Linked DNA regions of Elephas maximus indicus. The protein of the gene in region 1 interacts with the protein of each later gene in a pairwise test. Links are inferred from orthologs where the notes say so. Each region holds a gene or a part of one and is shown in the gene's direction. Other genes may lie near its edges.

Evidence for each region.
Region 2: the proteins of NRIP1 (region 1) and CIB1 interact in a two-hybrid assay, tested with the Homo sapiens proteins (2 studies listed by BioGRID and IntAct). The link is inferred for Elephas maximus indicus from reciprocal best matches to the Homo sapiens genes NRIP1 and CIB1.
Region 3: the proteins of NRIP1 (region 1) and ESR2 interact in a two-hybrid assay, tested with the Homo sapiens proteins (2 studies listed by BioGRID, with this or other methods). The link is inferred for Elephas maximus indicus from reciprocal best matches to the Homo sapiens genes NRIP1 and ESR2.
Region 4: the proteins of NRIP1 (region 1) and RORB interact in a two-hybrid assay, tested with the Homo sapiens proteins (2 studies listed by BioGRID). The link is inferred for Elephas maximus indicus from reciprocal best matches to the Homo sapiens genes NRIP1 and RORB.

What each region holds. Positions count from the first base shown.
Region 1 is NC_064836.1:46,669,370-46,676,999, forward strand, and holds the start of NRIP1 (nuclear receptor-interacting protein 1), read left to right. Parts: upstream 1-4,612; 5' UTR 4,613-4,849; intron 4,850-5,756; exon of another isoform or gene 5,757-5,835; intron 5,836-7,630. UniProt on the Homo sapiens protein: Modulates transcriptional activation by steroid receptors such as NR3C1, NR3C2 and ESR1. Also modulates transcriptional repression by nuclear hormone receptors.
Region 2 is NC_064831.1:75,440,614-75,448,312, forward strand, and holds the start of CIB1 (calcium and integrin-binding protein 1), read left to right. Parts: upstream 1-4,682; 5' UTR 4,683-4,789; coding exon 4,790-4,840; intron 4,841-4,969; coding exon 4,970-5,004; intron 5,005-6,468; coding exon 6,469-6,577; intron 6,578-7,699. UniProt on the Homo sapiens protein: Calcium-binding protein that plays a role in the regulation of numerous cellular processes, such as cell differentiation, cell division, cell proliferation, cell migration, thrombosis, angiogenesis, cardiac hypertrophy and apoptosis.
Region 3 is NC_064828.1:76,639,174-76,646,722, reverse strand, and holds the start of ESR2 (estrogen receptor beta), read left to right. Parts: upstream 1-4,548; 5' UTR 4,549-5,393; intron 5,394-7,549. Other genes in the region: coiled-coil domain-containing protein 170-like, read left to right, coding at 338-502.
Region 4 is NC_064827.1:90,655,015-90,662,830, forward strand, and holds the start of RORB (nuclear receptor ROR-beta), read left to right. Parts: upstream 1-4,816; 5' UTR 4,817-5,451; coding exon 5,452-5,458; intron 5,459-7,816. UniProt on the Homo sapiens protein: Nuclear receptor that binds DNA as a monomer to ROR response elements (RORE) containing a single core motif half-site 5'-AGGTCA-3' preceded by a short A-T-rich sequence.

The sequences.
Region 1 (7,630 bases):
TGAGAGCAGAATAGGAGCAATCTGGGTGCCTAATGACCATGGCATCACGGCTTTTTGGACTCCGTAGGTATCCCAGACATTTTCTTGTTTGGGGACTAAAAAGGCATCACCATACATTTGCATTTTATTATTTGTCATTTCCTTGTACACTTCCAGCTGCCTGGACTCAATTATTTTCAGATTTTCTTTTTTTTAAAGATCTAACCCTAGTCCTCATGACTCCCTTTAGTGTAGAAATTTAGTATCCTAGTACTTCAGTCCCACCCAAAATAAAAAGCTCCAATTTCATTAAAGGAAAGCTGCATAGTAACCTGCAGAAAGGGTGTCTGAACATCTCCATTTGAGCTTGTTAGGCCTCCTTCAACGCTCAGGTAGCTGTAGCACATCCTTATTGCCGCAGCTTTAGGTAGGTGGCTGCCTCAAACAAAGGCTGGGCAAATTTTGTAGTCCACAAGTAACTGAGCATGGAGTAGTTGAAGAGCAAAACCTGGCCTTCTACAGCTAGGGGGATGCTTCACAGTAACTAGCATAGAGGTAAGTCTGTGCTCTAAAAAAAAATAGGGAGGACTTTTTTTTAAGCTTACTCAACCCAAAATTTTTAGCATTTCATTTCTGCCGTAGAGCCAGTTTACATTTACAGTCCACCACCGTAGATGATAGAGATGGGGTAGTTGTAACTATAATACGATTAATGAAGACACAGTACATAAAGTGTAAACTTTGTTGATTCTCTAATTGGTATAAAAGCCTAGACTCAAGAAAATAGTCTTTATAATGCAGTTTAGTTAAACACTGGTAATCGGCACAAATTAAATCTAAGCTTTAATAAGAAGAGAAAATTCCTTTTGGCTTTACCTAGTTAAAAGTTTCACAAGTTCTTTAGAGATACACTGTCTAATACACTGGTCACTGGCCACATGTGGCTACTGAGCACTGGAAAGTGGCTAGTCCAAATCGAGATACACTGCATGTGTGAAATGCATGGTGGATTTTGAAGACATAGTACAAATAAAGAAACCCTGGTGCTGTAGCAGTTAAGAACTATGGTTACTAACCAAAGGGTTGGCAGTTCGAATCCACCAGACCTTCCTTGGAAACCCTATGGGGCAGTTCTACTCTGTCCTATAGGGTTGTTCTGAGTAGAAATTGACTCGGCGTCAACGGGTTTTATTTTGTTTTTTTAGTACAAATAAAATAATTTTAAATATCTAATTAATAGCATTATGTTGATTACACATTGAAATGATAATATTTTGGACACATTGGGTTAAAGTACATTGTTAAAATTATCTTCACCTGTTTCTTTTTACATTTCTAAATGTGGCTACCAGAAAATCTAAAATGACATGTGTAGCTCATATTTGTGGCTTTTTTTTTTTTAATTGTGCCACGCTAGAGGTTATGGGGCTGTAACTAAGGGTATAGCTACACTGAAGTTCCATCTGTATATAATATATCCATTATTATTATGTATAATATATATACATATAAAAACCCACTGCCATGGACATATACATATATATATCCCCCCAAAGTGTAATAGTTCATTCCATAGTGTGTAAGTTCAATAATTCTCAAAGCATGTTTTTGTTTTCTTCCTACTTCTCTATTGTAAAACAGTCTGTATCTTCTCCTGAGAACTCCTTTCCCACTTTGTCTACCTGGCAATTTCTTCTCACCATTTAATAGCCAGTTGAAGCATGACTTTCTCTGTAAAATTTTCTCTGATCTCCCTTGCTCCACACCCAAATAGAAATAAACATTCTGTCCTCTAGGCTATGACAGTATCTGCCCCAGTGTTTACTGAATGCCTTCTGTTTGCAGAGCACAGGGCTAGGTGGTGGAGATATCCAGATGTGAGTGTTAGGGATATGGGTTCCCTGCCTATAGTGTTTGCGTGCTAAGTGCTAAGTACAGACAAGCAAACACCCCATCACTAAATGGTGTGAAAAGTGCTATCACAGGAGAGGTTCAGGTGGCACATCTGAGACATACCTCACCAGATTATTTTTTTGTGGTAGGTAAGCATATTGAGCCTGAACTATAAGTATCTGATCCCACAGGAACCCTGGGCTTAAAAAACAAAACAACAAAAAAACCCAAGTGTGTAAATGGTTAAAAAATTTTTTTCACATCACAATTTATTAAAATGAGAGTTGGCTTCAAAATACAAATTACTAAATAGGCATGCTTCTATTACATACAAGCCCCAGGATCCCTGTGATGACTCTTAGCCTGGAATTTGGGTATTGATTAAAAAAAAAAAAAGAACAACAAAATCATCCCAACACAATTAAGCAGGATTAAGTAAAAATGAATTCCACAAAAGGTGTGCAATTTACTTAACATGAGTGCACTGTCAAATAGGGTTTGAGACTTCAATGATTGGCTTTCTGTTGGTGTTGAGAAGGCAGATTCATTACAAGGAACTAGCAGTTCTGCTCCCCCTTTGTTCAGTCATCTAACATATGGCAGTGGACTTTTTAAAAGTAGTGTTGAAGGGCAGGACCAAGACTTAGCTTGTTGGGTTAATTATGTAACCTCAGGTTTTAAGAGGTTGTTTATCTAACAGCCTCAACGAGAAGCAAAAAGAATGTTTCAAAAGCAACATTCGAGCTGTCCAAATATCTGTCCTAGAGTCTACGCACTAAGGTAAATGTGCCTTACTCATTGGTGAGTACGTAAGTCTCTGACATGGAACCTATTTAGTTTTACTTTAGACAGGATTGTGACAAGCGAGGCTATCTGAATTCCCAGTCTGCCCAGGCTAGAAGCTGCCAATCAGAAGAGGAGGGGAATGTTAGAGGCAGGAATGCTGGCAACAGAGAGACAACTGACAACAGATTGTCAGTTAGTGAAGGGGGAGAAACTACAAAAGGCCGAGTTAGTATCTAAGTGGTAGCATTCCAAAGTCCTTTATTCAGCCATTGATGTCTTGAATGCAATGGTTAGGAAACCCTGGTGGCGTAGTGGTTATTTACAACGGCTGCTATCCAAAAGGTTGGCAGTTCGAATTCACCAGGCGTTCCTTGGGAACTCTATGAGGCAGTTCTACTCTGTCCTATAGGGTCGCTATGAGTCAGAATCGACTGGATAGAATTTTTTTTTTTTTATGCAGTAGTTAAGAGCTAAGGCTGCTAACTAAAAGGTTTGCAGTCCGAATCCACCAGCCACTCCTCTGAAACCCTATGGGGCAGTTCTACTGTGTCCTATAGGGTTGCTAGGAATCAGAATCAACTAGATGGCAACAGGTTGATAGCTCTTTAGCCTCTGGGAGCATCCTTAGCACCTGGGAAGATACCTGATATAGAATAGGAAATCGATGCGTTTGTGGAATCCACTACAATCTACTACAATAATTCATTTTAATAAAATTGACCTCGGATTTTCAAGAAAATGTTAAATGACGTTCAATGAAGTGCTTGAGAAAACAGAAACATTTATAATACATTTTGGAAAATCTTTCCCATAAAAGTTAAAGCATATTTTACCAAAAAGTTTGGCCCCTTAAAGGGACAAACTCTAATTATGCTGATCATCACTCACTGGGGCAGTTTATTTTGTATCAGTCCTGGATAAATGACGTATTACAGAACAGCAGACTTTACTAAGGAATTCACCTGGAGCAGATTTCGAACCGTGGTATATGCAAATAAACTATTACATGAAGTTTAAACCGTATAAGAAGGCAACAGATTGCATAGTTGAATCACCAGGCTGATGTAAAACAGTTTTAAAATGCACCATCACTATTAAGCAAAATATTCCTGCCATGTGCCAGGTGCTGTGCTAGGTGCTAGATTTATGAAGAATTATTTTCAAAAATGGCTTTCGCTTTCAAGACTGTGTAGGCATTCCGAAACTCTCATTCATATTTTTAAAGGTTAAGTGAAATTTTAAATGCACAATACAACCATTACATAACAGACATGGAACACGGTTTTATAACTTGGATAGTTTTTTTTTTTTTTTTTTAAAGTGCACTAGCAACTCTATTTTCAAATGCTACCAAATTGGTAAGGATATGAAAATCTACACGAGTGGAGTGCCTGACTCATTTGTGTAAGAAGTGTTTTAACACGAGTGTGCCATTTCGGTGTTTAGGGTGAGGCTAAGCTGTACTTCAGCGTTTTTGTGCCAAGCAAACACAATTTCAGCAGTGGCATCCATTTCCCTTGATAATTGTTTCAGGGGGAGTTACTAAAGCTAGAGCCAAAGAGAAACCTGACATAGGTGATGTGTTGAGGGAGTGTTAATAGTTCTAGTTAGAGGTTTGGGGAGCTTTGAAGATAAGATGTGCGAACAGCAAACGTAAAGAGAAGGGGGAAATTATGGTTTCGTATGACTCTCTCCTCCCTACACTTTCTCGCTTCACCAATCTATAACCCTCCCCCCCACCACACACACACACACACACACACACACACACACACACACACACACACACACACACACACACACACACACACACACACACACACACACACACACACACACACACACACACACACACACACACACACACACACACACACACACACACACACACACACACACACTGAGAGGCGTGTTCAGCGAGATTAGGCTGCAGGAAACCGAGGTACACAGAGCTGCCGCCCCGGCCTCGTGATGTAATTGTTATTTCTTATTCGGAGACAGAACCGAAGAGAGCTGCTGAAGTGGCAGCCCTGTTCTTTTCGCCTTGTCTTGTCGGGTCAAAGGCTTTCCGGGGATGATGTGGATTCGCTGACAGACTCCGCTGGAGACTTCGCAGTGACAAAGCAACTGAAGATAAACCCTGTTCCTGGGTCCTACGTCCGTCCAGGGAGCTGAAAGGGGCGCTCCTCAGGTCTCCTTCCCAGTTTTCCTCTCGGAGGCACTCCACATTTATCGTTGGGTGCCTACTGCGAGCTGGCCAAGGGGCCCAAGTAACCTAGTGTTAGTGCCCTCGCCCCTCAAGATTAAAGCAGGACGCACAGATTAAAAGGATGTGGAAGTTGGAGGGTGGGTGAAAGGTGCCGCGGGAACGCGTGTAGTGGGGTGAAATGGGAGGAGGGAGACTCATACGGCGCCAACAGCCAGGCAGGGACCCTGGAAGCATTTAGGGTGCCCGGTCGCCCAGGCTGCGCCCCGAACGCGAGCCCTTTGTCCTAACGTAACAGGAACTATGCCCCCAGGCCCCGGGGAGGAGCTGTCCAGGTGCCTGAGGCGGTCGGGGGCGGCTGGACAGATCCAGGAGCCGAGGGGGACGGCTGGGACGCGCCGAGCACCCACTTCTCCTTGCCGACGCGGTCCTCCCGCTCCCCCCGGTCCTGCAGCCCCGGCCCGGCCCTCTGGGTGGCGGGCGAGGAGGAAAACAACAAAATAGAGGGGTCTCCCCAGCTCCTGCAGCCTCCTGGACCCGAGCGCCCCGGAGAGACGGGGGAAAAAAGGGTTAAGAAACTTGGCTGAAGAGCTGAATGGCGTGGAGCGGCGAGGGGAGGGACTGGGCCGCGGAGGACTCGGCGGCAGAGGGAGGAGCGCGGCTGCGGGCGGGCGGGCGGGCGGGCGGGCGGCGAGCGAGGCGCTCAAAGTCAGCCTCGCAGACATTGCAGCAGAGCCCCGAACTCGGGAGGCGGCGGCGGCGGCGGCGGCGGAGGCGGCGGTCGAGGCGGAGGGACAACCCGGCCCCGCGCCCTCGCGCCCGCCCGCCCGCGCGTGCCCGCCGTGGCCTCGCGTGGGCCGCTGTGCTCGCGGGGAAGAGCTCGCCGGGGCGCAGACGGAGGACGAGGCGGCAGGGCGCCCTCGCGGACTGAGCCTGACGGAGCCGCAGGCTCCGAGCCGCAGCGGCTTCGGGTGAGTGGCGGCCGCGGCCGGGGGGCTGCGAGGAGCGGCCGCTCGCGTCGCCGGAAACGGCCCCGGAGCGCGGCCCGCGGCGTTGGCGGGCAGGGCCGCGGGGGCGTCGGGGGCCTCGGTGCTGGTGGCGGAGCGAACGCAGGCAGCGGTGTGGGCTCGGCGGCGGGGAGGAATCGTTTCCGGGGAAATCCCGCCTCTGCTTCTCCGCCCCTCCCGGGTTCGAATCGCCCCGGGAACCCGGGGGCCCGGGGGGCGAGGCTGGCAAGTTGTGGAGTTGTAGCTGGGTTCGCTAGCCCGCCCGTGCCGGCTCAGGGCCAGGGCAGGGGGCGGTTGAGGGTCCCTGGCGGCGGGACGGGCCCGGGGGGCGGGTGGCCGGGCTGGTGTCGCGATCGGTTCGGCTGTCCCCCTCGGCCCGGAGTCCCGGGCGCTTCTCGCCGCGCCGCGCTCGGTCCTGCTGCCCCGCGGCGTCCTGGGCGGCGCCGGGCGCTGCTCCCCGCTTCTCGCCCCGGTGCCTCCTTGGGCTGTGCTCGCCCGATTCCGAGCCACGAAAAGTGAATAGGACAGGGGACAGCTCTGTGGGCCCCCAGGCCCGCCCCGCCGGTACCGCTCCCGAGGGCGAGGCCCCTGGGACCCGAGGCCTCAGCCATCATTTTACCTCGGAGCCAGGAAACTGGCTTTCATTTAGGGTGAGCCCGGAAAGGTCCTCGGAGCTTTGAGGAGCCTCCTTTTCTCTCCTTAGGTATGTGTCCTCCCTATTATTTTTGAATATCGTTGATTTATGAAGGCTTTCCATGCAAATCGTTTTACATACCCGCCTATCCGTTCCAAAGTAGTTTTTAAAATTTTAATCAGGAGTTCATCTCCAGTCAGTAGGAACAAAGGAATCAACTGTGTCTTAGAGAACAGGCTGGAAGTCTGACACATGTTGATCGCTGAAGCATTACAGGAGTTTCTAGTTTTTACCACGTTAGTAATTTAATTGGTTCGTAAATAGAGGAAAATAGGAGAATGAGAAGCACTTTTGTTTTAAAATGTTTTTTTAACGGGACATTTTATTTTGGGAGAAAAATTGACTTGTAACTCAGTTGGTAGAACTCAGTTGGAGCCTATCGCCTGTAATGCAAGCGATTAAATGTGAGGTTGTGGGGAAATATTTTCTTTACAGGAAGCACGACCGTGTATAGGTGTCTAAAGTAAAAATGGTTGTCGGTTATATACGATGAGTACTCTTTTCATTTCTTAGGGAATTTGTGAAGTCAGGGGCTCTGGTAATTCATTCTTTAAAGTTATGAGTTGCGTTGAAGCCGCTTATTAGTGAATCATAGGTTTAGCAAGTGGGCGGCATCTTCCAGATGAGATTATTCAATGTTTAATCATCAGTTTGCCACCTTTGTTGAAGAGAGCAAAATAAGTGGACTTTTAAAAACAAGTGGGCGCTTTTCATCTGTCAGGCACCTAAGTGTGGGTTGCTCCCTGGAGTGTATTGAAATGTTTTTCAACTTCCAAGCAAGTTACTCTGCTTTTGTCTGGCGGTTTGGTAACAGTGGTTTGGTGACATAGGTAGGGGTTTCACTGGTTCACGGAGCAGTGGCTTTAGCACTAACAGTAACTTTTCTCTGCCTCTTCTTAGCTCTTAGAGACAAAAGAAGGAGGGTTGATCTATGGAGCAGCTGCTAACCTGCAGGCTGCAGGATTACTAGATCTGTGTTGTACACTCTGCTGGGGAAAGACCTCTTTCCAAAAAAAAAAAAAAAGGGTCTCAGGAGTGTGAGTAAAATATGTATTAAAAAAATGA
Region 2 (7,699 bases), on another chromosome or scaffold:
AATGTGGAAATTATCGAACAATATCATTAATGTCACACGCAAGCAAAATTTTGCTGAAGATCATTCAAAAACAGCTGCAGCAGGGAACTGCCAGAAATTCAGGCCAGTTTCAGAAGAGGATACGGAACCAGGGATATCACTGATGATGTCAGATGGATCCTGGCTGAAAGCAGAGAATACCAGAAGGATGTTTATCTGTGTTTTACTGACTATGCAAAGGCATTCTACTGTGTGGAACATAACAAACTATGGATAACACTGCGAAGAATAGGAATTCCAGAACACTTAATTGTGCTCATAGAGGAGCCTTTACATAGATCAAGAGGCAGTTGTTCAGACAGAACAAGGGGATACTGATTGGTTTAAAGTCAAGAAAGGTGTGTGTCAGGGTTGTATTCTTTCACCATACCTATTCAATCTGTATGCTGAGCAAATAATCTGAGAAGCTGGACTATATGAAGAAGAATGGGGCATCAGGATTGGAGGAAGACTCATTAACAACCTGCGTTATGCAGATGACACAACCTTGCTTGCTGAAAGTGAAGAGGACTTGAGGCACTTACTAATGAAGATCAAAGACCACAGCCTTCAGTATGGATTACACCTCAACATAAAGAAAACAAAAATCCTCACAACTGGACCAATGAGCAACATCATGATAAACAGAGAAAAGACTGAAGTTGTCAAGGATTTCATTTTACTTGGATCCACAATCAACAGCCCTGGAAGCAGCAGTTGAGAAATCACAAGATGCATTGCATTGGGTAAATCTGCTGCAAAGGACCTCTTCAAAGTGTTGAAGAGCAAAGATGTCACCTTGAAGACTAAGGTGTGCCTGACCCAAGCCATGATATTTTCAATTGCATCATATGCATGTGAAAGCTGGACAACGAATAAGGAAGACCGAAGAAGAATTGACGCCTTTGAATTGTGGTGCTGGAGAAGAATATTGAATATACCATGGGGTGCCAAAAGAACGAACAAATCTGTCTTGGAAGAAGTACAGCCAGAATGCTCCTTAGAAGCAAGGATGGCAAGACTGCGTCTTACATACTTTGGACATGTTGTCAGGAGGGATCAGTCCCTGGAGAAGGACATCATGCTTGGCAGAGTACAGGGTCAGCGGAAAAGAGGAAGACCCTCAACGAGGTGGACTGACACAGTGGCTGCAACAATGAGCTCAAGCATGACAACGATTGTAAGGATGGCTCAGGACCAGGCAGTGTTTCGTTCTGTTGTGCATGGGGTCGCTATGAGTCAGAACCAACTCGTCGGCACCTAACAACAAGAACAATCAAGTATCTAATTTTTTGACTTCTCTGTTCAGTTCTGACACCAGCTGCCTATGCAGCACTTCTTCCTCTGATCCTGACCACCTAAAGTTGTGTCAGAGCTCACAAGTTAAAGGACACAGTCCTCCAGATGGACAAGTAGTCCTAAGACTTTAGCTGCCAGCTGCAAGCTTGAGAGTCCATACAACACCCTCATTTCTGACCCCTTGGCCGCAGTTTGAGGTTTTTCCACTACCCCTTCAGGATGCCAGCCTCAAGCTTGGACGGGGGCTGGTCTCCCCTCACTTTTGACCTGCTAGTTACAAGTCTGGGGTTCCCTCTACCCACTCAGGATACCTGCTATAAGCTCAGAGGGCCCCAACCCCTCTCATTTCTGACCTGCTGGCCCTCACTACTCTCTCAGGTTCGTAATTCATTGGAATGACTCACAGAACTCAAGGAAAGGGCTCTACTTAATGATTACATCTTTATTGTAGTAAGAAAGGACACAAAGGAAGAGATGCACATGGCCATGGGGCAAGGTTTGGGAGGGTTTCCAGCTAACAACATTCACTAGCTTTGTGAACTTTTCAAAAAATCCCTTGCTGTAAAGTCAATTCCAACTCACAGTGACCCTACAGGTCAGAGTAGAACTGTCCCATAGGGTTTCCAGAAGCAGACTACCACATCTTTCTTCTGTGAAGTGGCCGTGGGTTCGAACATGAAAATCATGCCAAACGGCACAAAATGTTCTTGTTGGCTGGTCAGTATATTCCCTCCTTCGTAAAAAAAAAAAAAAAAAATCTACCAGAAAGCACAATTATAATCAGAAGGATGTTCAGTGAAAAAGGTTTCAGAGCCAAGTGAGGTGACCAGAAAATCTAGATCTCACTGGTCACCATGATATAAAGTCAATTCCAACATCTTCACTATGAACAAATATAGACTCACCACAAGGTCAGCTACTGGCTGGCCAGTGCTCCCTCTGTCTAGTGTAGGCAGTGACAGCTTCTTGTTTTTTGCCTCCACTTTTTACTAACCAAGGCACCCTGGTGGTACAAGTGGTTAAGGGCTTGGCTGCTAATCAAAAGGTCAGCAGTTCAAATCCACTAGCTGCTCCTTAGAAACCCTATGGGGCAGTTCTACTCTGTCCTAGAGAATTGCTGAGTCGGAACTGAATCGACAGCAACGGGTTTGGTTTTTTTGGTTAACTAACTGAAGACCAAACCTTTTCTACAGGAAGAGCTGTTGTTAGAGACAAATGATCAGGTTATAGCTTCCTAGGACTAGGCCAGTCACTTGGCCTTGGTGTTCCCACAGCTTCCCGGCCTCCCATTTCTTGGAGTGGACTATTTCTACAATGGTGGAACTCGTTATATGTAGATACTGTGAGTCTTACTAGAGTCACTCTCAGATGACTGCCTGATTATCGAGTACTGGGAACACTTCAGACACTCAGCAAACATTTACTAAACAACTGCCACAAATCAGGTCCTGGGGATAATGGTTCTCCATAGCTGTTCAATCTTACAGTCTAGTGCAGGAAACAGATATTAAACCAATTATCATCCAATATAAAATTTGCATGCTGTCAAGGAGATGGACTGGGTACTCTGTGGGTGTAAAATAGATTTCTTATCTAGTTTAGGGTGTCAGGAAAGGCTTCCCTGAGGATAAGATGTTTGAACTGAAGGATGACTACAAGTGGCTAAGAGTTACTGAGCAATGGAAAGGGCTTGAGGAGAAGACTTTGTAGGTAAAGGAGAACACAGCGTGCAAAGACCCTGAGACTGGGTGGATCACAGCTAGGAAAAAGAACTGAGAGCCCAAAGTGGCTGAAACACAAGAGAGCCACAGGAAAAGGGCAGAAAGAGAGTTGGAAGTCAGGTAACAGAGGGTCAGGACTTGGGTTTTTTAAACCATTTAATGGTTTTAAGGAGCCGTGGTGTGGGTGGCACTGTGGTTAGGAGCTAAGGGGAGCTACAGCTGCTAACCAAAAGGCTGGCACTTCGAATCCACTAGCTGCTCTTTGGAAACCCTATGGGGCAGTTCTGCTCTGTCCTATAGAGTCACTATAGGTCAGAACTGACTTCACAGCAAAGGTTTTTTTTTGTTTTTTTTTTTTAATGGTTTTAAACTGAGTCTGATATGCTCAGGTTTAGAGTTTACAAAGATCAGCAAGGAGAATGAAGTGGAAGAATCAATAATTAATACCACCTGCGCCACGCACCTGGGAATCATCTTTGTAATAGTGCAATTTCCTTCATTCATTCATTCATTCATCCAATAAATACTTACTGAACCCTACTAAAATGTACCAAGATGTACCAAGAATTGTTCTAGGGCCCATAAAATAAACAACAACGTCAGAGAGGAACATGTTCCTTAGAACAATCAACTATACAAGATCAAAAGGACAACATTTGCCAAAAAGCAAAGATAAGAAGACAAGAAAGTATAGAAAAAGCGGAAGGAAGGAGCCGGGGAACCCACAACGGAAATGGGGAGAGTGCTGACACATTGTGGAGAACGCAACCACTGTCATGGAACACTTCATGTACAAACTATCGAATGGGAAATTGATTTGCTCTGCAAATTTTCACCTAAAGCACTATATATTTTTTAAAACTGTCCTAGGGGCTGAGAGGGGGCAACAACAAACAGGTCAGCCTCGGACCCTACGGACAGGGTGCACGCGGTCTAGGGGTGTGGGTGGGGTGGGGTGAGAGGAGAGCGTCTCAGCTGGAATGACGACAGCAGTAGAGAGCAACGGAGCGAGCCTTGGATTGCAGCGACCACTTTCTAATTGCCCGAACGTGGACCTCTGTATTTCCACATTTGTAAAACCAGAACCTACCTTGCAGGGTTCCTAAGAATCAAAGAAAACTACGCAAAGTGCTTGGCATTCAGTGGGCCCTCAGCGGCAGCAAGGTTGTGGATACTCCTGGAGGAGGTGGCATGGGGGCTGCAAAACATGGGGCGAATGCCGAGAGATCAAGTCCGGAAAAGCCTTCGCTGGGCAGGTGCGTAGCCGCCCGGTTTCGGCCACTCAGCGAGTCTCGAGATTTCCCAGGTACCCTGGCTCCAGGACTTCCCAGATGTCCCTTACTCGACCCCGCCCAGGACCGCCGCTGCCACCACCAGCAGTAGGTGAGGAAGGCGCACCGCGCGACTTCGCCCTCAGCGGCCACAGTACCCATAGCTAGGGCGCAACTCTCTTCACGCATGCGCATCCTGCGCTCACGCGCGCAGCACCGCCCGGCCCGCCCACCCTGGAGGCGGGGCCGTGTGGCCTGGGCTCCGCCCCGGAGCGTCCGGCCCCGCCCCGGGCCCCGCCTCCAGCTCGCTTAAGGACCGCCCGGAGCCGGGAGCTCGCCGGCTAAACCCCTCTGGGAGGACTCGGGCGCTTTAAGGAGCGGTTGCTGCGGGGACGGGGCGGTGACGCGACCAGAGGGCGGAAGTGAGAAAGTTGTCGGAGTCCGGAGCCGAGTTGGCGGAGCAGTGCGCGCGACGCGGCGATGGGGGGCTCGGGCAGTCGCCTGTCTAAGGAGCTGCTGGCCGAGTACCAGGTGCACGGGACGCCGGTCCCCTGGGAGCTCGCGCGTGGCCTTGTCCCGGGAGCGGGGCTCAGAGCGGGCGGCAGGGCGAGTGAGGCCTCGGGGCGGCCGGCTGACCCATTCTCTGGCTTTGCCTTCCAGGACTTGACGTTCCTGACCAAGCAGGAGATCCTCCTGTAAGTGCTCCCTGGAACCCCCGCCTCCGACTTCGGGGCCCTCTAGGGACAGTTTCGGGTGGTGCTGTTTTACGGATACGCTAGGCCCCCCGAGGGAGGGGCAGGGGCTTGCCTGAGTTAGGCAGCGGAGCCGGAACTGGACTCCGAGCCCCGGCCCAGAATGCGCCCTCCTTCCGGGACATTCCACTGGGGCCCCCCGCTTTGCACCGCGAAGCCGCCTCACAGTCCCCAGGAAAAGTTGGGCGTTCTTTGACCCTGCTTCTACACAGGACTCCCGAACTTCCTGCCCCAGGCCGGCAGGGGCTGCTGTAGCTCTTGGCTGACTGTCCTCTGGCAAAACCAGAGATGCCTGACTCCTTCCCCCAGCTTTACGTGAATAATATAGTAACCGTTAACGCTTACCATGCGCCAGGAACTGTGCTAAATGGTTGCCTACATATCCTATTTCCATGCTCACGAGAGAGGAACCGGGACAATGAAACAGGTTCAGAGAGATTTGGTGACTTGCTTAAGACTACACTCACAGTTAAAGGATTTGACCACAGGCTGGAACCCCGTTTTCTAGCCTTGTGACAGCTTCAGCGTGGGCTAGGGCACTTGAGTGAGGAGATTCCTGGACTTCCCTTGACAAAGATAATCCCAGTGAGAAGCAGGTGAGTGGTGAGGAACAGATGGTTCAGGGAAGCTGATAAAGAGAGGGAGGCTTTGAGGAACCAGAGATCCTTGGGGCGAGAATGAGATTTCGATTCTGTTCATATTCCCCTGTTCTTCAGGGCTAACATCTGGCTCTTTCCCCCAACTTCATCCCTCTGAGATCTCCAGAACCATTGCCCGTCACAGTGCCTGGCTCACAGCAGGCCCTCCATAAATACTCGTCGTGAGAATGGATTTCCAGCCTGTACATCTTGTGATATATCTCCTTTCTGCTTATGTCACGTGATGACTTTCCTAAGTCTTATGTGCAGAGCCCTGGTGGTGCAGTGGTTAAACTCTCGACCGCTAACCAAAAGGTCCAAAGTTCGAACTTACCGACGCCTCCCGGAGAAAGATGTGGCAGTCTGCTTCCGTAAAGATTTACAGCCTTGGAAACCCTATGGGACTATTCTACTCTGTCCTACAGGGTTGCTATAAGTTGGAATCCATTTGAGGGCAGTGGGATTTTTTTAATTCCTTGCATTGCTACCCATTATACGCCAGGTGAGCCTCTGTGGCTCTGCCACATACATACAAAAAAACAAAACAAAAACAAAAAAATCTTTATGGAAGCAGATTGCCGTATCTTTCTCCTGCAGAGTGGCTAGTAGGTTCGAAACCGCTCCCCGCCCCCCCGGCCCCATCTTTCAGTTACTAGCCAAACACTTTAACCACTGTACCACCGGGGCTCCTACACGAGGAATGGGAACATAATATACCCAGGAAGGCTGTAATTGGTTGAGTGAGACAACAAGTTCCCCTTTTTGGCAGAGCCCACAAGCGGTTTTGTGAGCTGCTTCCTCAGGGTCATCGGAGCATGGAGGAGTCACTGCAGGCACGAGTGTCCTTCCAGCAGATCCTAAGCCTTCCAGAGCTCAAGGTACCAGTCCCCTACGCCCTGCACACACATTCCCTCTGCTAGACTCCCTCTCATCTACCACTGCCTTTCAGATCATGAGGTTACTGGTCCGTTCTCTGTTTAGCCTAATTTCCTGGGGTGAAGGGCTTTACCAGATCACCCAGTGGAATTATCTAGAAAAGGGTTTCTCACACGAGGTTCTAGGACATATTCTCAGAGGTTCAAAGAATTTTTGTCCTTTAAGAGTAATCAAGTTCTCTTATTAAAGTTTGAGAGTCCCTGTTCCCGAGAGTGATTGCCATTCTGTAGGACTGCTGTGACAATTACTGTGCAAAGGGCCTGGCCCAGTGCCTCTAACAGCCTCTAACAGAGTAGGTGTTTAATTAAATGTTTGTGTTTTAAAATAACCAGCTGTTGCAGACTGAATTTTATCTCCCAAAAATGTGTTGTGAATCCTAACCTCTATGCCTGTGGTTATAATCCCATTTGGGAATGGATTGTCTTTATGTTAATGAGACAGGATAAGTATAGGGTGTGTTTTAAGCCAGTCTCTTTTGAGATATAAAAGAGATTAAATAAGCAAGCAACAGTAGCAGAGATGAGGGAAGAGAGATGTCAAGCCCCATGAAGCTTGCCCAAGAGCAGAAGCTCAAAGCAAACACATGGACCTTCCTCTAGAGCCAACAGATAAAGACTTCCCCTAGAGGTGGTACCCTAAATTTGGACTTCTAGCTTCCTAAATTGTGAGAAAATAAATGTTTGTTAAAGCCATTCACTTGGGATATTTCTGTTACAGCAGCACTAGATAACTAAGACAGAATTTGGTACCGAGAAGTGGGAGTGCTGCTGTAACAAATACCTACAATATGGAAATGGTTTGGGAATTGGGTAATGGGTGGAGGCTGGAAGAGTTTTAAGGCACCTAATAGTAGTAAAAGCTTAGATTGCCTTGAAGAGACTGTTGGTAGAATTATAGATGACAAAGGCAATTCTGGGGAGAGCTCCGAAAGAAAGTGAAGAGAGCTATAGGGAAAGTATCATCTTAGGGAATGTATATGGCACCAGCAACAGAATGTTGCTAGAAATGTGGGTGTTAAATGTGCTTCTGGTGAGGCTTTGAAAGAAAAAGATGAATATGTGACT
Region 3 (7,549 bases), on another chromosome or scaffold:
AAGATTCTTATAATAGACCACTATTCTAGGATCTTGGGGGGCCCTGGTGGCACAGTGGTTAAGAGCTCAGCTGCTAACCAAAAGATTGGCTGTTCGAATCCACCAGCCGCTCCTTGGAAACCCTATGGGGCAGTTATACTCTGTCCTATAGGGTTGCTATGATTTGGATTCAGCTCAATGGCAACAGGTGATTCTAGGAGCTTAATTAAAAAAATACTGTTTGAATGTAGAATAGACATTTCATAAAGAAATGTTTAATAAGACTACATTTCTAGTAGCAGCTTCACTTTATGTAACAAGTGGGTGAGCAAAACTAATGATGTCTTGGTTCTTGCAGCTTGCTGAGTTTCGAGAAACCATTACAAAGATGTTGGGATTTCACATGAAAACAGCAGATGAAGAAGTCATCAATCAGCTCAGGTTTATTCTACAAGCTTATGAAGCATCTAACAAAAAATCAAGGACTGCTTCTGATGATGAGGCTGAACCGGAGAATGACTAAAGAAGTTCTGCCTCTTCCTTGCTGCCAACAAGAACTCACCCGATATGGATGTTTCCTTCAGCATCTTGAATGCAGCTACATTATGAATAAAATGCACTGGAAAATTTTCACTTGAATCTGTTCTCCTGTTTGCGTTTAGCTTTTGTCATAATTTTGTTCTATGTATTATGATCTACTTTAATTTATTTGTAACATATAATTATCTAATTATATTTGTTAACTGTATTTTAAGTAGGATATTAAGCAGAACTTGTGCTTAAGTTGGAATATTTACATCCATAGTTAAGCCTGTTTTCAGAATGAATAATTTATTGGGTTTGAAATCCCTCTTGGGAGCCAGGTAAAGTTATGATCTATGGCTTCTGAAATTATTTGATTACCTGAGAGTGTGAAAATCAGATCTGAAATGTTGAGGGGCAGGAAAGTCATTGAGAATTCTTATAAATCTGCAGTACACTGTAGTGTGATTTTTATTTTCTTAGTGTTTAATAGTCTCTGCCAGTGCTTTCCTAATGGTGGCCAGATCTCTAAGTTAATGGGCTACTTTTTTTTTTTTATTGTGCTGTAAGTGAAAGTTTACAAATCTAATCAGTCTCTCATATAAAAATTGGGCTAATTTTTAAATAGTATAATTTTTAATTCATTTCATTTGAAATAGGAAACTGCTTATCTCCCAGGATAGTGTTAGATTCACCTAAGATGTCCTCTGCGGGAAAAGGTCAGAATCTGCACAGGGCTATGGGCACTAAGTGCCAGCTGTGGGCGTTTAAAAGGATCTCCTACTGCGCTTAGTTTTAGAGGGATTCTTAGGGTGGAAGAGGTCAGGTTACATTGGATCTTCTGTACCTTGGGAAGAAAATGATTGAATACTCATTCAAGGAAAAAATGAGTCACTCATCTTTTAAATGGTCACAGCTGTGGTTCCCAAATTGTGTGACAAGGCACCCTGGTGTGCTGCAGCAATCTCATAGGAATGTCATGGAATATTTCAAATTTTAGAGGAAAATACAGTGACACTTGGTGCGTGTCAGGAAACCACATGAACTACTAGCTCCAGGTAGTTTATTGTTTCAACATTAGACTACTCTTCATTCCTTTCAATGATGTATCTTTGTGATGGGAATGGCCCATGGCCTCAGGACTTGTCAATCTGTCCCCTAGGGAGGCACAGCAGTTGATGCATTACTACCAAAGACAAAAACCTTCAAATGTGGGGAATGAAAGACTTTCCCCAGACTTCAGGATCCCTGGCTGCAAGTGAGAGAAGCCTGCATGTATTTCCTTTCAAGACTGTCCTTAGCCTTGCGAAAGAGGAAGGTGGGCACACGCTGCCCAGAGCCCTAATGTAGCCCAACCTGCCTAAGCTGTAAGAACTAGAGTGAAAAACCTGTGAGAGGAGGAGCTTGACGGGACCTCCTTGTTTTTCTGGGTTTTGCAAGTTTTCCATTTTGACAGGGTGCAGTCTTACCACTTTTCTATTGCTATTAGTTGGAAAATACTTGCATATTCCTTTTTGATAGGTTTCTACCTCACACAGGTTCTGGCTTTTGCAGGTTTTACTGTACCTTCTGCTTCAGGATTCCCCCAGGGCCACCCAGCTGCCTTCTGCAACCTTAGCACAAGGAGCTGGGAGGACTGTGCTATACCACAAGCCAGGTAGGCCACGTCGCTCCCCGGGCATCCCCTCTGAGGACTCCCGAGCACTGTGCACAAGCTCCCAGCTCCCAAAGTCAAGCTCTCCAGGAAGGTCAAGGTGCCAAATTGCAGCAGTCTCTGAAAGAGCTACCTTATGAGCACATTAAAAGAAAACACTCTGTAAGCACAAAGGGACCTTAGTCTTACTATTCCTTTGAATTGTTAGTAGGTACTTCAACCGCAGGACAATGTAAAGGTTCGTTAACTGCGGAGGCAGAGAAAGACCCTTCAATGATCTGGACCAGCACTCTCCAGAAAATGCTTTCTGTACTTTTAGACAGATCACTGACACACTGTTCTTCAACGATGAGAACTGGATTTAGATTTAAGACTTTAGGTAAGTGGTTTTCAGCCTCGAGATGCATTAGAATTACCTAATGAACTTAAAAAAAAAAAAGTTTTTTTTCCAGGCCTACTGAGATTCCAGTTCACTTTGATGTGGTGTAGGGCTGAAGTATGTTTTTTTTTTTCCAATGCTCCCTAAGTTAAAAAATGTAAATTGTAAAAATTATAAATTGATAAAAGTACTTTGGAAAATATTTTGGCAGCATATTAGTTTCCTATTGCTGCTGTAACAAAGCCCTGGTGGCATAGTGGTTAAGCGCTAAGGCTGCTAACCAAAAGTTCGGCAGTTCAAATCCACCTGCTGCTCCTTGGAAACTCTATGGGGCAGTTCTACTCTGTCCAATAGGGTCTGCTATGAGTTGAAATTGACTCCACATCAACAGGTGTATGTTGTTGTTATATATATATATATATATATATATATATATACACTTAGAACTCTGGTGGCACAACGGTTAAGAGATCTGCTGCTAACTGAAAGGTTGGAGGTTCGGATCCACCAGCTGCTCCAGTTGCTCCGTGAGAGGAAAAAACCTGGTGAATTCCCTAAAGATTATGGCCTAGGAGACACTATAGAGCAGCTCTACTCTGTCCTCTAGGGTCGCTATGAGTCAGAATCAACTCAACGGCACACAACATACATACCTGATGGAAATGTGTACAGTCTACAAAAAGACATTTGCAAGATTATTCATGGCAGCACTATTCATAATTGCCCCAAACTGGAAAATACCCAAATGACCAACAGTAGAATAAATTTTGACAACCAGCCACTAGTTAAGCATTCAGATCTCCCACTCACTGGCATGCTGAATTTTCTCAGGGGCCAAACTAGACCTTGGTTCTAACCAGCCTTGCGACCCTCAGTCAAGCTCTGGCCCTCTCTGATCTCAAACACAGAGAGGAAGGGTGGCCTGGATTTCTGAGTTTTGACTGTTCCAGGCATGCCCAACTATCCTGGAAGACACATTTTTGGGTCAGATAAAGGAGTTTATTGCCCCAGAAGGACAGAAGCCAGCGGGCACAGCCACCAGGCGGCTCACCTGCAAACGCTAATTCTGCCTGGGGCCCCTTTCCTCGGCTGCAAGGTGTGACAGGCTGAGATCTACCTTCGTCTCCACCCTCCAATTCACCTTTCCCCTGAAGATACCCCCTTCCGGACAGAGGGACCATTAGGGTCTGCACATGCCGCTCAGACCACTCGCCTGTGGCTCAACGCACCCTAGCAACAAGTGCAGCAGCTTACGCAGAGATTATCTTCCCTTTGAAGATTCCCAAAGTGGTCTCATCTAGGGTGGTATGATTCCCTCAGCAGACAGCAGGACATGCGAAGCCACATGCTTAGCCAGCGGCCAGGGAGTCCGCGCTACTGCGCCAGCATCCCGCAAAGTGGCTGCGCTTGCGCAGCACTGCGGAGAGGCCGACTAGAGGCCACTTAACCAAAAAAAGAAAAAAAGAAAACCCAAACTCGTTGCTTTGGAGGCGACTCCGACCCACAGCGACCCTAGAGGACAGGATAGAACTGCCCTGTAGGGTTTCCAAGGACCGGCAGGTGAATTTGAACTGCTTACCTTTACCTCTTGGTTAGCAGTCCTATCACTTAACCATTGCGCCACCAGGCCTCCAGGGGCCACTTAAAAAAAAAAATTTTTTTTTTTTTTTTTTTTAACTGAGAGACAATTCTGGACCGTGCTAGGGGTGGGAGACAGTGAAGGAATCATTCGCTGATTACTGGCTGGAGGAAATGATTGGCTGATGGAAAGAACGTTCCAGATGAGTCTTTGGATGCGGCGGGGGACATCTGAAGGAGTAGGAGGAAACTCCTGGTGCGATTCTAGCCAATCAGGGACCAGAGGCGGGGCGATGTCGCGGGAGAACGATATCGCCCGCGCGGGAGGCCCTTCCCTAGCCCTCCGGGCCGGTAGGTGGCGCGTTGCTAGGAGACTGAGGGACCTGGGCTGCCCCGGCAGAGTCTAGGCGGAGCTACCCGGCGCGGAACTTGCTGGGAGCGCTGAAGTGCCTGCAGATGTGGTGCGGCTGCCGACTTTGTACACACCGGCGCTGTGAAGCTGGTGTCAGGGTCCTCACCCCGATTCTGTTGGGAGGGTGTGGGATGGCGCCCATAACAGTGTTCGTAAAATCTCGGTGAATCTGAGTCTCAGCCAGAGTTGAAGCCTGCTGCCTTAGGCCCTGCTGAGCTGGGAGGGATGTCAGAGTAGGAGCGCCGCGCTGGTCCCTCTGTGTCTGCGATAACGCTGGGGGGATTGCTAGTGCTCCGAGAGGGTCGTCAGCTTTGCAAATCTAGGTTTTGTCAGATTCCCCCACATCGGATTCGAGGTTGGAGAACGGATCGCGGCCTTACGTAAAACCCCTTGCCGTGTAGTCGATTCCAACTCGTAGCGACCATATAGGACAGGGAAGTACTGCCTCCTAGGGTTTCCAAGGCTGTAATCTTTATGGAAGCCGACTGTCAGAGGAGGGAGTGGTCGTGGGTTCTACCACAGACCATTGGGTTAGCAGCCAGTGCTTAACCACCGTGCCACCAGGGAACCCTCCTTGCCTTACATAAACTATATGCCCATTCACCAAGATTTGGAGACACTCCGTGCTTTGTGTGTTGGCTGACAAGGGCGAGCCTATCCATAGGCAGCCACTCTGGAGAAGAAATTAGATCGGGCGTTTGCTTGGGAGCATGACTGGAGAACCAAGGTGATGTCAGACTAGAAGACGTTAATCTGTGATATCCAGATTTTCACAATTGTCAAGATTTTGCTGAACAAAACCAGAAAAATACCCGGAGACCTTAGTCTGTTCTTGGACTGCGGTTAATGTCTCCTTCTCTTGTTGTCAGGTGAGTTGTTGAATCATTTGACATGATAGTGGTTGTGCAGTAGCATTTAAGACTCAGGACTAGATACAGCCACTAATACAAATAGGCAGTTACAGGCACACTTCATTTTATTGTGTTTCGCAGATGTTGTGTTTTTTATAAATTGATGGTTGTGACAATCCTGCGTCGAGCAAATCTATGAGTGCAATTTTTCCAACAGCATGTGCTGACTTCATGTCTCTGTGTCACACTTTGGTAATTCTTGCAATATTTCAAACCTTTTCATTATTGTATTATCTATTATGGTGATCTGTAATCAGTGATCTTTGACGATACAAACGTGATTGTTTTGGGGCACCATGAACTGCTCCCATTTAAGACAGCAAACTTAATCGATACATGTTGTGTTTTTTTTGACTGCTTTTCTGACCAGCCGTTCCCCAGTCTCTCTCCCTCTGCTCAGGCCTCCCTATTATCTGAGACACGACAATATTGAAATTAGGCCAATTATATGTCCTCTTAAGTGTTCAAGTGAAAGGAAGAGTCACACATCTCCCACTTTAACTCGAAAGCTAGAAATGATTAAGCTTAGTGAGGAAGGTATGTTGAAAGCCAAGATAGGCTGAAAGCTAGGCCTCTTGTACCAAACAGTTAGCCAAGTTGTGAATGCAAAGGAAAAGCTCTTGAAGGAAATTAAAAGTGCTACTCCAGTAAACAAGTGAATGACAAGAAAGCCAAACAGCCTCATTGCTGACATGGAGAAAGTTTTAGTGGTCTGGATGGAAGATCAAACCAGTTACAACATTCCCTGGGGCAAATACTGGACAGGATCAGTCTGAGGTGCCCTTGCAGGCACAGAACAACGCATTCATGCACAGACAGCCTCACCTTGTCCTCCTGGCAACATATTACAGAGATGGCGCTGACGGGTTGCGGGGGGCTGGGAGGAGCTAAGTCACCATTTTCCCTTTGCTGCCGCCATCTCGTGAATCCTGAATCCCAGTGCGACTTTCTGTACCCAATGACAACAACATCATCGTAGAAGTTGTCCACCAACCCTGAGGGACCACATTCCTGAACACCACCTGAAGAAGAGCCCCCACTCCGTTATCCTACGCATATAAACTGCTGTCCCTGCCGATCAGGAAACAATCTTGGCGATGCAGGTCCTGATGTGCTCTTTTATTTGGCCAACCAAATAAAGCTTTCTTTCACTTTCAACTGACTCATGTCTCAGTGTTGCCCCGAGTGAGACCTGGAGGACTGATAACATCCCCATCATCCTGAAGCAGCTGGATTGATAGAACAATGGAACGGCCTTCTAAAGACACAATTATGGTGCCAGCTAGGTGGCAGTTCCTTGCAGGTTTGGGACAGTGTATTGCAGGAGGCTGTATGTGTTCTAAATCAGCGTCCAGTATATGGTGCGGTTTCTCCCATAGCCAGAATTCATGGGTCTAGGAATCAAGAGGTAGAAATGGGAGTGGCACCACTCACTATTAACCCTAGTGACCCACTTGCAAAATTTTTGCTTCTTGTCCCTGTGACCTTATGCTCTGTGGCTCTAGAGGTCTTAGTTCTTTGGAAGGGAGGAATACTTCCAACTGGAGACACATCACTGGTTCCATTGAACTGGAAGCTAAGAATGCCACCTGGCCTCTTTGGGCTCCTTATGCCTCTGGATCAACAGGCAAAGAAGGGAGTTACCATACTGGCTGGTGTGATTGATCCTGATTACCAATAGGAAATCGGATTGATATTACATAATGGAGGTAAAGAAGAGTATGTCTGGAATGCAGGAGCTCTCTTAGGGTGTCTCTTAGTACTACAATGCCCTGTGATTAAAATCAATGGAAAAACACTGCAGCCCAATTTCAACATGACTACTACTGCCCCAGATCCTTCAGGAATAAAGGCTTGGGTCACCCCACCAGGAAAAGAACCACAACCAGCTGAGGTGCTTGGTGATGGCAAAGGGAATACACAATGGGTGGTGGAAGAAGATAGTTCTAAATACCAGTTATGACCGTGTGACCAGTTGCAGAAATGAGGACTGTAGTTGTTATGAGCATTTTTGCTTTGTATGTGTGCAGCAAATATTTTTGTTTTCTTTTTCACTTATAAAATAAGATGTAAACAGGGCTAGCGCATTTTTGGTTGCATGTGTATTTGTTGTA
Region 4 (7,816 bases), on another chromosome or scaffold:
TCAAGAGTCTAGATTCTGGGGATTCAATAAGGAAAGAAATAAAATCAAGAAAAGTCCCTACACTGATGGAACTTACATTTTAGTGGCTAGATCTGGGTTTGAATAGTGGATCCAGCATGTTTATATTTGTGGTCTCAAATAAGTTAATCTTTCTAAGGCTCTGTTCCATTATCTGTTTAAGAAAGATAGAATGGGAGAGAATATAAAACATGCAGACTCTTAAAAGAATTAGAAATTAGATAGGCTGTTGGATCACATGATTCATGTGACCAATGTTAACTTTTTCCCCTGACCTGTGTATCTTGCCCTCTTCCTAAAGCTTACACTACTCACTTTGTATCCCGCATATTATGGTTCATCTTATGTTTTGTCCCAAAAACACACTTTCCATTTTATTGCCTAAAGCACAAACTATACATTTTTTTGAAAATTTTGCATTTTTTCATTGTGAAAATATGTTCGACTTGCATCCATACTTTAAAATGAAACAGACCCTAAAGTACAAAAAGAAAACTCTCCACATTAGAATAAAATTGAGAATATCATGAATATAAAAAAAACTAGATTCAGTTTTCTTTAATAATTATGTAACCAATCTCAAACATCATTTTTCTCTTCCCCAAATTGGAAGAGTTTAAAATGCAGTCTCTCTCTTTATCTGTATCTATCTACCTACGTACGTATCTATCTATCTCTTTCTCTTTTAATTAGATGCTAAGAAAGAAACCTTATTCAGGTCTTTGCTCCATTTCTGGTTCAGAACCAGTGGGCAAAGGACTTGGAAGCATTCATTCAACTAATAATTACCAAGCACTACCAAGTCCCAGGAGCTTTTCCAAACTCTAAGGATATTCCGGCTCTTGCTCTCACGAAGCTTGCATTTCAGCGGAGAAAGTGCATCTCTGTTGCAACTTCTGGTGCAGTGGTCATAGACTACATGCGGATACATTCAGAGTTACAGAAGATCTTGGAGGCAATCCAGACAATTTCCAACCTACTGCAGGATCATCTCTACTAGAACGTCTTTCCTAGGGTCTTCCATGCCGCTCTTGTTTAGATGTTTCCAGCAACAAGGAACTCACCACTTTGCTATTTCCATTTTTATGGGTTCAGCTGTTAAGTTCTTATATTTTTCTGGTGTTTCCAGTATTTAAAGGCAGCTTTATGTCTCTTTCTCAATTTTCACAGCTACTACCACTCCCTACACTGGACTAGATATACGAAGCTTTCCATCATTGCTTACGTAATATTGTTATCAATATTGCCAGTGTCCCTCTAAGATTCATAATTAGTGAAAAGACTCTCTCTGTGGAGATTGACCAGCTCCGAATATAGTGAAACATTCCTACTTATTTGGGTTGAAGCAGTTTGAGATTGAAATATCTTTTTTTCAAGGCTACCCTACCTTTTTGGCTTATATTAAACCTTCCGCTTGGTCAGAATACTTCTTGTCATTTTTACTCCAAAGCCTCTTAGCTAAGCCTGAGGGTTGATGACATGTGGAGAAAGCAAGCAAACAGGGAAGCCTGAGTGAAATTTTATCAATTCTTGTGATTATGTAGTGCTGTGTGACTTACTAATTGTCATATAAATTTATCAGAATTTAGCTATTAATTTAAGATGTGCTTCAGATCCAGAGCCCAAAGCAAAGTTTCAAGCTTATAGGAAACCAGACAGTTCCATAGTCATTCAAATTAAATTACTGACACTGTACTTCACATACAATCGACTCGATAGCACTGGGTTTGTTTTTTTCTGGGTACTTCATATGAACAAGGACAATAATATAGATGTATCATTGTTTTGTCATTTGCAATATGGATATTTGCTTTCACATAGGTTACAAAACATCAAGTTATATATAAGTGTTTTGTCACTGCTTGGAAAATGTAGATTTCTTTCATTTAGATCATGAATATTTATTTTACAGAAACAGGTCCCACCCAGTTGAAATAAATTTGGAAGTTATTAGAAAACACTCAAGAATTCATTTTTTAAATTCTTAGGAAGATATACAATGACCCATGTTATGGATTGAACTGTGTCCCCCAAAAATACATGTTGTAAATCATAAACTCTATGCCTGTGGTTATAATCTCATTTGGGAATGGGTTGTCTTTGTTACGTTAATGAGATAGGATTAGTGTAGAGTGTGTTTTGAGTCAATCTCTTTTGAGATATAAAAGGGAATAAACCCAAGCTAGCAAGCAGAGATGGGGGAAGAGAACTGCCAAGCCACACGAGGACCGCCCAGGAGCAGAGGCTAGGAGAGACAAGAACCTTCCTCCAGAGCCAACAGAGAGAGAAAGCCTTCCCCTGCAGCTGGCACCCTGCGCTTGGACTTCTAGCCTCCGAAACTGTGAAAAAATTCTGTTTGTTAAAGCCACTCACTTGTGGCATTTCTGTTATAGCAGCACTAGATAACTAAGACAACCCAGATCACGATAACCAATGAGCAACATTTATTCCACCCTAAAAGAAGAAAAAACTTGTATATCATCATACATGTAATATATTACACACACAGTTTTGAAAAATGAATAACATGTTTATAGTCTTTATTTCTAGTGAACAGTTTTCCCAATGATATTCAGAAGGGATTAAGAAATGTAAGATATATCCCTAAGCAAAATTATACATCCTTGAACTCACAAAGCAAACGACACACAAAAGTATCTTACGGGGAAAAAGTACTTTTCATATATATGTTGACTACTCTTTTAAGGATTACAGATACTGAAGGAGTAAAAAGAACTTTCAGAATCCAACAAATGTTTAAAAATTTAAGACTACATTACAGAGTTAAAATTCTTGAATTTTGAAATTCCTCTTTCCTCTAATGGGAAATATAAATCTAAAATAATAACAACAATAACAATATTTACAAAAGATTTGGAATTTTCAACACTCGTCTGTCTCTGCTTGAAGCTCACATGAAATTAAAATGACATAGTCACAATTTGTTTCTTGACTATTTTATATTCAGTAATTTTTAATGAAGCAACTAAATTAGGCATAACTTAGTGCAGCTTTAATGTAGTTATGATGAATATATTTTACTTGATTAAAAATGATCAAACCAGGGAGCCTTAAATATTATCTTAAAAGATTAACTACTGTGTCAATTACAAATCTAGGCAAAAGGTATTTATAAGGGAATAACTATTCTGAACAGTAACTTCCTTTTGTTCATTTCATTTAATTAATGACTCAATCAGCTTTCACACTTAATACTAAAAATTTCCTAAATTACACATTGGCTTGCAAATGGGAGGGCAAGTAGCAGACTATATCAATTTAACACTAGTGAAGACTCAGCAAGTAATCCACTTTTTATTTAATCAGGGAGGGAGGACCTGCTTTGGCAGCGTAGAGTGATCTAATTAACTAAATAATTGCCAAGTCTACATTGTATTTTGTGCTATATGACATAAAATGAGTAAATACTAGTAAAAATCAAATTATTTAGATGCCTGAACGTTGATGAGGCCTGCTCTGCCAACAGGTATGCTATTAAGTTAAAGCCTCGATGCCTTAAAATTGACTTATTGTTGTTGCTAGTTGCCCTGAATTATTCTGATGTCACAGTGACCAATTTTTTCACCTCCCTGCCTTTTAGGGTCGCTATGAGTAGAAATCGACTCCACCGCACTGGGTTTGGTTTTTTTGGTTTTTTGGTCTTTTAGGGTGACCAATTAGCCAAAATATTTAAGAAGCTCCCTACTATAGGGAGGAAAGCAGATGTAGTCATCTATATAATGTATTTATTTCTCCACAGAGAGGGAAAAACTTGCAAAATAATAGTTTTCCTGATAGGCATTAGGTCATTATTAAGATATGAATAAAAGGTCACAGATGATAATTTTCACTTAAGGAATACAAATAACACTTCTATTTAATTGCCAATCTCTTCTAAATAGGTAAATGTGTTCTGGCAGCAACTAAGGTTAACAGTTCCTTCCTCCTGGAGTTCCCCATCTTCATCAACTAAAGAGCAGCACCCACACATTTGCCCTCAGCCCCTTTGACTACCCGTCACTTAGGTGGCCACACTGATCAACTTGGCCTGTTATCCTTGAGTCCAGTAGCCCAATACCCCCAGGGATTAGCCACATGCTGATAAAAATGCATTTCCTTGACAAAAGAAAAGCACTTAAAAAAAAAAAAAAGAGGAAAGCTGTCAGTCCCCTGTCTTTTTTAGGACGGGGGAGCATCTGAAAAATGTTTTTAAAGGAAGTGGACGGTTACTTGCACGGGATTGTATTTTAGTTCCGCAAAAAGTGATGGAAGTGGATTTGCACTCTTCCGCCACTGAAACTGAAGGGTCCTGGCACATGGAAACGGCCCTGCCAGAGAAGCGAAGTTTACCGAAAAGGACTGGGCAGAGAGCTGCCATCAATTCAAAACTAACTATCCGGGGCTCACAAGCGCTGCGAGAGAGGACAGACCGTGGGACCGGGGAGCCTCGCGTCCCTCGCTCGCGGAGCTCTGGCCAGTGTTCTCCTCCCTCCCGCTGGAGTCGGAAGTGACTGTCACCTGCAGGTCCGCCCGACTCCCTGGGTGCGTCCGTCCTTCTCCTTTGCCCTGTTGGGACAGTCCGGGTTCCAGCCCCGTCCACCTCTGGCTCCAGTGTCCCTCACCGCCGCCACCCCCACCCGCTCCTCGGGTCCCCTCCCCCGCGGTTCCAGCCCCGCCAAGCGCTGCCGGGAGCTGATTGGCCACGGCGCTGACAGGAGGCGGGGCCTGGAAGTCGCGGCCAAACCCGCCCTGGCGTATAAGCCCCTTCTCGACTCTCTCTCTCCATCTCTCTCCTCTTTCTCTCTCGCTCCCTTCCTCCCTGTAACTGAACAGTGAAAATTCACATTGTGGATCCGCTAACAGGCACAGATGTCATGTGAAAACGCACATGCTCTGCCATCCACACCGCCTTTCTTTTCTTTCTGCTTCCTTTTTTTTTTTTCCCCTTGCTCCTTCTCCCTCTTCTTTGTAACTAACAAAACCACCACCAACTCCTCCTCCCGCTGCTGCCCTTCCTCCTCCTCCTCAGTCCAAGTGATCACAAAAGAAATCTTCTGAGCCGGAGGCAGTGGCATTTTTTAAAAGCAAGCACATTGGAGAGAAGGAAAAGAGAAAAAAGCAAAACAAAACCCAGGCACCAGCCAGCCAGGACATTTTTTTTTTTCCACCCTTCCCGAAAACAAACAAACAGACAAACAACCATCAAAACAAAACAGTCACCACCACCCTCCTCCAAACTGTTAGCTTAACAGCAGCGGCGGCGGCAAGCGTCACCCTCCGGCCAAGGCGTTCGCCTAAAGGGATGGTTTTCTCGGCAGAGCAGCTCTTCACCGACCACCTTCTGCACTTGTGCTGAGCGGGGATTTTGGGGCTCTCCGGGGTTCGGGCTGGGAGCAGCTTCATGACTACGCGGAGCGGGAGAGCGGCTACACCATGCGAGGTAAGCGAGCCCGCCGGCACCGAGGCGCCCGGGTCCGGCCAAGTGCAGCCAGATGGAGCGATGGGGGAGGGGAGGTCACCCAGTTGAAGGGGAAAGAGCTTGGCGGGGCGTAGTTCCCTGAGTTCGCCTTCGCAGACGGAACTGCAAATGGCCTCGGCGTACAAAGTTGTGGGAAGGTGTTGACGCCTCTCGGGAGTTCTGGAGGGACGCGGGAGGGCGCTTTTTGGGAAGGGAGCGATGTTGGTTGCCTCCTCCGGATCCTTGAGTTGCACTGAATCTTTTCTGCGCGTCTCTCTGGTGCGCGGAAGTGGAAGCGGGAGGGAGGGAGAGCGGAAGAGGGATGCCTCTCGGCCTAAGCAGCTGGAAGTGCTCGCGCCAAGCGGCCCCTGGCCCGGGCTGGGCGCGCAGGGCGCACGGGCGGGTGGTGGGGCGGGCATGCACGGGCGCACACACTGCCCTGGTTACACGGCCCACCAGCGTCCCGGCAGCAGACACATCCCCTCGCAGGGGTGGGAGGCAGAGGGGAGGTGTTATGGAGCCGGACGCTGCTGCGGGGACCGTCGCCCTTGCGCTCCTCTCGTGCCGGCACTGCGCCCTGGACAGGTCTGCGTGCCCGGGCCCCTGCAGCCCAGGGAAGAGCGCGACCCCGAAAAAGTTGAGTGGAGGAAGTTCTGCAGGCGAAGAGAGTCCGCACTACCCGGGGTAGGGAGAGCCAGGGTCCCGAGTTCTTTCGTAAACACAGGGCGCTTGCGGGAGGCAAGTGATGGGTGCTCTCTCGGGCCAAGACCTCCGGCAGAGGCACAGGCAGGAATCCCGGGTGAGCTGGCGGCTGTCGGGCGGCACACTGGGAGCAGGGTCCAGACACCTGCTCCTGTTGCACTCCGGGCCGCTCGACGGATGGCCCTCCGGTTTTGGGGAGTCACTTTGTCCTTCTCCTCCGCTTCTGTGCTCGAGATTTTGAGGGTTCCTACGCCTTGCGCCGGAGCCCTTCTTTTTTTGCTTGGCCACAACTTTAGTCTTGGCGGGTCAGTGCCCGCATATCATGGGCATCTGGGCAAGCCTCTGTGTACCCTCAAACTCTACCCTCTTTCTTTCTTCCTGACCAACCCTTCGGTTCTCTGAGACTCTACTCTCCCTCCCTTCGCACCTCCCTCTACATCTTGGCAACTAAAAGTTGGAGACAGCCAGGTCTGAACCTTCCGGCATCCAGGACCCCTTGAGAGGTGAACTGGCAAGAAGCACTTTGGAGAGTTGGGCTGCAAGCTCTTTTCACTTCCACCGGGCTGTGTTCCTCTCCCGCCCACTCCCCGAAGACCCTCTAGGAGCGTCCCGAGAGTGCATTGGGCATCTCCCCATCCCTGAAGCCTGGACGCTAGGGCGGAGATTGGTTAGCCGGCTGGGCGCTGGGATGTGGCAAGAGGGGAAAGGAGTAGGAAGAGGAGGAGCTGAGAGAGGTCGTATGTCCATTTGTGGGGGCAGCTGTAGATAAGGGGCACGGATATCCGAGTGGGAGAGTCTTAATTGACCCGCGCACAGAGGGTGGGGCCCCGTGCGTGTGCTGGTTCCGATGAGTGTCCGGGCTTGGGGCTGGTCACGTGCTCAAAGGCCCAAAATCTTTTGGGAAACTCAGATGTGCAACTGTCGAGTGTAGAGCTTTTACTTAGAGATGCTCCAGTCTTTTTTTCTTTCTTTTTCTGTCCCATCCCACCACCCTATTCATCTCTTTTCGGTTCCTCCTACTCCCGTCCGAGGTTGCCAGACCTTCCTTCTCCCTCTTTTGTCCTTCCAATCTTCCCCCTATGGCTGGATTCACAGGTTCTCATGGTCCGAAACCACGTGTCTCCTTAGCTCCGACCCGGCACTACAACCTTGGGCGTAAAAGCTGCTCACACTCTCCTTACATTGTAGAAGGGAGAGAAGCGCGAAGCAAGCGTGATAGTAGCTTGATCGCGCCACTCCTGAAGGAGCAGTTTGCAAGCAAATTCTCGCTTCACCCACAGTGCTCCCTAAGAGCCAAGCTCCGGGAATCCAGAAGTTTGCAGGGTTGAAAAGCCAGGCGCTATCCTCATGCTAACTTTGAGAACCCCAGTGTAATCCCACACCCCCGTCACCAAGGACGCGACCTCTCCAGGCGGCTGAGAACTACTTCTGACAAGTTCTAACCTGGGAGGCAGCTCGCAGACGTCCTGGGGGTAAAGCGCTGGAGAAAAGACAGGCAGAATCGTTGGCCGAGTCTCTTTCTCGCCTCCTCTGCCTCTCTTTTCCTGTTCCGTTACTGCCTCTGTGCCTTGGTGCTTTTGCATTTACAGCGAACTATGCCCTTCCGCGACATCAGGGGTTGTTATTTAAGGATGGCAA